2 linked regions of the Saccharomyces cerevisiae S288C genome follow. Changing the gene in region 1 together with any one later gene gives a genetic interaction. Each region holds a gene or a part of one and is shown on either strand. Other genes may lie near its edges.

What was found. A genetic interaction does not mean that the proteins touch.
Region 2: mutations in MET17 (region 1) and OPT1 are lethal when combined (synthetic lethality), as found in Saccharomyces cerevisiae (2 studies listed by BioGRID, with this or other methods).

Annotation. Positions count from the first base shown.
Region 1 is NC_001144.5:730,831-734,524, forward strand, and holds MET17 (bifunctional cysteine synthase/O-acetylhomoserine aminocarboxypropyltransferase MET17), read left to right. Parts: upstream 1-1,711; coding exon 1,712-3,046; downstream 3,047-3,694. Other genes in the region: HRI1 (Hri1p), read left to right, coding at 1-729; YLR302C (uncharacterized protein), read right to left, coding at 1,361-1,723. UniProt on the Saccharomyces cerevisiae protein: Catalyzes the conversion of O-acetyl-L-homoserine (OAH) into homocysteine in the methionine biosynthesis pathway. Required to efficiently reduce toxic levels of hydrogen sulfide generated when the sulfate assimilation pathway (SAP) is active.
Region 2 is NC_001142.9:34,437-38,194, reverse strand, and holds the start of OPT1 (oligopeptide transporter OPT1), read left to right. Parts: upstream 1-1,945; coding exon 1,946-3,758. Other genes in the region: CBP1 (Cbp1p), read right to left, coding at 1-190; PEX2 (ubiquitin-protein ligase peroxin 2), read right to left, coding at 461-1,276. UniProt on the Saccharomyces cerevisiae protein: High affinity transporter for glutathione. Also transports tetra- and pentapeptides like the opioids leucine enkephalin (Tyr-Gly-Gly-Phe-Leu) and methionine enkephalin (Tyr-Gly-Gly_Phe-Met) across the cell membrane.

The sequences.
Region 1 (3,694 bases):
GCATTATTAAAAAGATTATTGTTTCAAGTGGGTCCTCATCCAAACGAAAGAACATTCACCTTATCCTCTGTTTCAACTGATGGGCACTATATTTCCTTGAGACCATTTGTTAAGCCAAGCGGTGATGAGTTATCTTTTCCTTTCGAATGGGCCTTTGCCGGTACAAACGAAACAGTTAAAGCTAATGATCAAGGAAACGGTGTCGTTACTCAAGATTTCAATTTCTGGTTGGATACAAATGTGTACTTGAACGTTCCAAACACCCATCGTGGCGAAGTGAACACCACTTGGAAAAATTGGGATTCTGGTTGTGTCGAGGAAACAGGCGCTGTTTACCCATTCGGTGCCGACAAAGAAAGCGTCTCTTTCAGAGAATTGTGGCAACCAGTTGACCCATCAAGAGAAGATCTAGTCATCGTCTCACCAAACAATGAGAAGTTCTCGTCGAATGCTAGGTCAATTGTCCTCAAAGTTACTGACGAAGCTTATGATGGTTTGGTTATTGTTATTGGTAGATGGATTCAAGGGTTTTTGTCCCAAAAGAATAATAACACTATTGAAGGCTTGAACTTCATCAGATTACTTGAAAAAGATTCAGGTAAATCTGAGTTCTTATTAAGCTACGGTAAGGAAGTAAACAAAATTCCACAAAGCTACGAAAATTTGAAGAAAGGTTCCACTGTAACCAGCAATGGGTTGAACTGGGAAGTTATTGAATATCACGCTTAATAAAGGAGAATAAATCGTTTTCTACTTTCTTCTGCTGCTATAATAAGCACCTATGGGATCTATATAGTATTTTTATAACGATAGACTTTATAAAAGAAAATACCTAAGTGAAAATTTGGTGAATTTTGAGATAATTGTTGGGATTCCATTTTTAATAAGGCAATAATATTAGGTATGTAGAATATACTAGAAGTTCTCCTCGAGGATTTAGGAATCCATAAAAGGGAATCTGCAATTCTACACAATTCTATAAATATTATTATCATCGTTTTATATGTTAATATTCATTGATCCTATTACATTATCAATCCTTGCGTTTCAGCTTCCACTAATTTAGATGACTATTTCTCATCATTTGCGTCATCTTCTAACACCGTATATGATAATATACTAGTAACGTAAATACTAGTTAGTAGATGATAGTTGATTTTTATTCCAACACTAAGAAATAATTTCGCCATTTCTTGAATGTATTTAAAGATATTTAATGCTATAATAGACATTTAAATCCAATTCTTCCAACATACAATGGGAGTTTGGCCGAGTGGTTTAAGGCGTCAGATTTAGGTGGATTTAACCTCTAAAATCTCTGATATCTTCGGATGCAAGGGTTCGAATCCCTTAGCTCTCATTATTTTTTGCTTTTTCTCTTGAGGTCACATGATCGCAAAATGGCAAATGGCACGTGAAGCTGTCGATATTGGGGAACTGTGGTGGTTGGCAAATGACTAATTAAGTTAGTCAAGGCGCCATCCTCATGAAAACTGTGTAACATAATAACCGAAGTGTCGAAAAGGTGGCACCTTGTCCAATTGAACACGCTCGATGAAAAAAATAAGATATATATAAGGTTAAGTAAAGCGTCTGTTAGAAAGGAAGTTTTTCCTTTTTCTTGCTCTCTTGTCTTTTCATCTACTATTTCCTTCGTGTAATACAGGGTCGTCAGATACATAGATACAATTCTATTACCCCCATCCATACAATGCCATCTCATTTCGATACTGTTCAACTACACGCCGGCCAAGAGAACCCTGGTGACAATGCTCACAGATCCAGAGCTGTACCAATTTACGCCACCACTTCTTATGTTTTCGAAAACTCTAAGCATGGTTCGCAATTGTTTGGTCTAGAAGTTCCAGGTTACGTCTATTCCCGTTTCCAAAACCCAACCAGTAATGTTTTGGAAGAAAGAATTGCTGCTTTAGAAGGTGGTGCTGCTGCTTTGGCTGTTTCCTCCGGTCAAGCCGCTCAAACCCTTGCCATCCAAGGTTTGGCACACACTGGTGACAACATCGTTTCCACTTCTTACTTATACGGTGGTACTTATAACCAGTTCAAAATCTCGTTCAAAAGATTTGGTATCGAGGCTAGATTTGTTGAAGGTGACAATCCAGAAGAATTCGAAAAGGTCTTTGATGAAAGAACCAAGGCTGTTTATTTGGAAACCATTGGTAATCCAAAGTACAATGTTCCGGATTTTGAAAAAATTGTTGCAATTGCTCACAAACACGGTATTCCAGTTGTCGTTGACAACACATTTGGTGCCGGTGGTTACTTCTGTCAGCCAATTAAATACGGTGCTGATATTGTAACACATTCTGCTACCAAATGGATTGGTGGTCATGGTACTACTATCGGTGGTATTATTGTTGACTCTGGTAAGTTCCCATGGAAGGACTACCCAGAAAAGTTCCCTCAATTCTCTCAACCTGCCGAAGGATATCACGGTACTATCTACAATGAAGCCTACGGTAACTTGGCATACATCGTTCATGTTAGAACTGAACTATTAAGAGATTTGGGTCCATTGATGAACCCATTTGCCTCTTTCTTGCTACTACAAGGTGTTGAAACATTATCTTTGAGAGCTGAAAGACACGGTGAAAATGCATTGAAGTTAGCCAAATGGTTAGAACAATCCCCATACGTATCTTGGGTTTCATACCCTGGTTTAGCATCTCATTCTCATCATGAAAATGCTAAGAAGTATCTATCTAACGGTTTCGGTGGTGTCTTATCTTTCGGTGTAAAAGACTTACCAAATGCCGACAAGGAAACTGACCCATTCAAACTTTCTGGTGCTCAAGTTGTTGACAATTTAAAGCTTGCCTCTAACTTGGCCAATGTTGGTGATGCCAAGACCTTAGTCATTGCTCCATACTTCACTACCCACAAACAATTAAATGACAAAGAAAAGTTGGCATCTGGTGTTACCAAGGACTTAATTCGTGTCTCTGTTGGTATCGAATTTATTGATGACATTATTGCAGACTTCCAGCAATCTTTTGAAACTGTTTTCGCTGGCCAAAAACCATGAGTGTGCGTAATGAGTTGTAAAATTATGTATAAACCTACTTTCTCTCACAAGTACTATACTTTTATAAAACGAACTTTATTGAAATGAATATCCTTTTTTTCCCTTGTTACATGTCGTGACTCGTACTTTGAACCTAAATTGTTCTAACATCAAAGAACAGTGTTAATTCGCAGTCGAGAAGAAAAATATGGTGAACAAGACTCATCTACTTCATGAGACTACTTTACGCCTCCTATAAAGCTGTCACACTGGATAAATTTATTGTAGGACCAAGTTACAAAAGAGGATGATGGAGGTTTCTTTACAATAAAGAAGCACATGTGTGTTAACGTTTTTAGTATTTGCTTGTTATGTAAATCAGGAAAACTTCGCGGGATTTGGTTGGATGCTACTTTCCATACAATAAATATTATAGATCTAAAAAGCCAAATTACAAGTAAAGATTAGTAAAGCTGTTGGAATTCCATCGTTGATAAAAATGTTAGTTATTAAATATAAAAGTCAGAATAGGTGAACTTGGATTTAATTGTTGGCATTTCGTTGCTGCTAGAGGCCATAATATTAGATAGCCAGGACATACTAGTTCTCCTCGTGGTATAGGAATCCATAAAATGGAATTGGTGATTCTATGTGATATATTCACATTCT
Region 2 (3,758 bases), on another chromosome or scaffold:
CCATGTCAGACCAATATTTCCGTATTTTCAACTTGTCATTGTCATTTAAATTCGCATTTGCTTTGATAAGGGCCAAGACCTGTTTTTGAATTGGATCCCTGCTGCTGTGGTTGATTCGTCGCAAGGTCCTGGTAGGTACCATTTTTATAAACCTCTCGGTCCTGTACCGAACGAGACGAGGTAAAAACATTGCATGGAAAGGGAAACGTGCAAAATGCAAACTACTGCTATCCTAAAGTGCTCACTGTTTATTATTACTGGATTTCAGACGTCGCTTCCCACATCGTCCCGTACAGCGTTCCATGATGATATTATACCACTTCTTTATTGTTTCTTTTTTTTCTTGAGCAGAAAGTGAAAAAAAAAAAACCAGACCCTTTACCACGTGACCGATTTTGACAACATGAATATGAATATAGTATACACATATATAGAGATACAAGCGAGGGAACGGGGCCCTTTAGTACACTGGTGAGGCGGTCAGTCTCCCAGAGGATCCACAGGCATCGCACATAGACCACTCCAACGCCTTTACAACGCACACGTAACAGTAGTTCGCACGACAACAAGCGATCTGGTATGGGTTGGTTGGAAAACCGCCGCAACGGGGGCAAACTGTCTTATAAGTAGTCGTAGAACGAGACCTTGGTGGTTTTTTAACAAAGGTCAAGAGTCCTCTTTTCGTAAGTAGTGTATTGGAAAAGAGTTCTAATAGTGCATTCCATAGCAATTGTCTATTCTGGTATTCTAACCCAGCGAATACAGAGTTCGAATAAAATTCAGAGGCAATTGCAGAACCATCCCGAATCAACCTTGTGGAATGGACATTAAAAGCCCGGTATAACGGCGACAAAAACGCCCTCGCATTGGGCCCTTCCGCTGCTAGAAACCTCAGGAAGTTGGTTACATCACAGCCGTGATACAATAAATTAACCCATTTGTACAGCTTCAGCCACATCATCTGGTTCCCACAGTGCGGCCCATTAAAAATAATATGTGTGATCTTCTTCCACACGTACCCTGCCAAGACAGTGACGACATACAAGGTGCGTTTCCTGCACTGAAAAACCACGCCACTGAGTGCGGATCCATACGTACAGCTAGAGCCATAGTGTGGCAGGAACCTCGTCGCGCACATAAACACAACTGTGTTCAGTGCCAACTCCCATTCCTCTTTGTGTTCACTCGTATTGAATGCTGCATTGAACTCGGACCAAAACTGTCCATACAATTCTTTATCAAGCGCTATCGAGTCGAGCTGTGCAACTCGAGACATGCTGCGTTGCCTTTAGATTACGTCTTCTCAGTTATCTCGGCAATCTCTCCTCGTTATGCTTTCCCTCCGTCTTCACTCATCCCTTATAATGCGTTTCCCAGCAACCTTATCGATAGAATGGAGGGGAAATCGCATCCGTTCCACTCCTCGGATCGATACTAACTTCCGAGACGTTGCATCAAAGGCCAAGACATGGCATTAGTCACCCTTGTTGCAACGATAGACGCATACTACGGACCCCTCAAACCTCCCTACCTGCCCGTCGCTATCGCATTAATTTTCTTTTTTTCCACTATTTTTCCGGCCCGCCACACCTCCGACTACAAGACGCCACATCTACGTTTTGTCACACAAAATCCAGGACAATAGCCGTCTGCAAGGCACCAAGGTTTTCAGCAGTTGCTTGTTGCTGCTGCCTGTTAATCACATCAAACCCACTGCAAGGGCAGTCGATGGGTCTGTAAACGCCTTAGCAATCGTTGTTGAAGAAAGAGAGCTCTTATCATCATGGGGTGCCCATCATTTTTCTTTTTTTTTCAAATTTTGGGCTATTCAATGAATTGTTTCGACTATATATGGACAATCATCGGAAGCTGTGTATTCTTGGTAAAAAGTTTTCGACTGTGTGGCAGAAAATAACCGCAACAATTATATAACGTCACAGAACACATGAGTACCATTTATAGGGAGAGCGACTCGTTGGAGTCGGAGCCCTCGCCAACGCCAACAACCATTCCTATCCAGATCAATATGGAAGAGGAAAAGAAAGATGCTTTCGTTAAGAATATTGACGAGGACGTCAATAATCTCACTGCGACTACTGATGAGGAGGACCGCGATCCGGAAAGCCAAAAATTCGACAGGCATTCCATACAGGAGGAAGGTCTCGTTTGGAAGGGCGACCCTACATACTTGCCCAATTCTCCATATCCTGAAGTGAGATCGGCGGTGTCCATCGAGGATGACCCCACCATCCGCCTCAACCACTGGAGAACGTGGTTCTTGACCACGGTGTTTGTGGTAGTTTTCGCCGGTGTTAATCAATTTTTTTCCCTGAGATATCCATCGCTAGAGATCAACTTCCTTGTTGCACAAGTTGTTTGCTACCCAATTGGTAGGATACTGGCTCTCTTGCCCGACTGGAAGTGTTCTAAAGTGCCATTTTTCGATTTAAACCCGGGCCCATTTACCAAAAAGGAACACGCCGTGGTCACAATTGCCGTGGCGCTTACTTCCTCTACTGCATACGCTATGTACATTTTGAACGCCCAGGGAAGCTTTTACAACATGAAACTTAATGTCGGATATCAGTTCTTGTTGGTTTGGACATCTCAAATGATTGGTTATGGTGCTGCAGGTCTTACCAGAAGATGGGTCGTCAACCCTGCAAGCTCTATCTGGCCTCAGACTTTAATTTCAGTGTCCTTGTTTGATTCGTTGCACTCGAGAAAAGTTGAAAAGACAGTCGCAAATGGTTGGACGATGCCCCGTTACAGGTTCTTCTTAATCGTCCTTATCGGATCGTTCATCTGGTATTGGGTACCTGGATTCCTCTTTACCGGTCTGTCCTATTTCAACGTTATCCTATGGGGGTCGAAGACAAGACACAATTTCATCGCTAACACAATCTTTGGTACTCAAAGTGGTCTCGGTGCGTTGCCAATTACATTTGACTACACCCAGGTTTCCCAAGCCATGTCCGGCTCTGTTTTCGCCACACCATTCTACGTCTCCGCCAACACCTATGCATCAGTGTTGATATTCTTCGTCATAGTGCTGCCATGTCTTTATTTTACGAATACCTGGTATGCCAAATACATGCCCGTCATTTCAGGTTCTACTTATGACAACACTCAAAACAAATACAACGTAACAAAGATTCTTAACGAGGATTATTCCATTAATCTTGAGAAATATAAGGAATACTCACCGGTATTCGTTCCATTTTCCTATCTTTTGTCGTATGCTTTAAATTTTGCCGCTGTTATCGCCGTTTTTGTCCACTGCATCTTATACCACGGTAAAGATATTGTCGCCAAGTTTAAAGACCGTAAAAATGGTGGCACTGACATTCACATGAGAATCTACTCCAAGAACTATAAGGATTGTCCCGATTGGTGGTATTTACTTTTGCAGATTGTCATGATCGGTTTAGGATTTGTAGCAGTGTGCTGTTTCGATACTAAGTTCCCAGCTTGGGCATTTGTTATTGCAATATTAATTTCCCTTGTAAATTTCATCCCGCAAGGTATCTTGGAAGCAATGACTAACCAACACGTAGGTTTGAATATTATCACAGAATTGATCTGCGGTTATATGCTGCCTTTAAGACCAATGGCAAACTTATTATTCAAGCTATACGGATTTATTGTCATGAGACAAGGCTTGAATTTGAGTAGAGATTTGAAATTAGCCATGTACATGAAGGTTTCCCCTCGTTTGATCTTTGCCGTTCAAATCTATGCCACTATCATATCAGGCA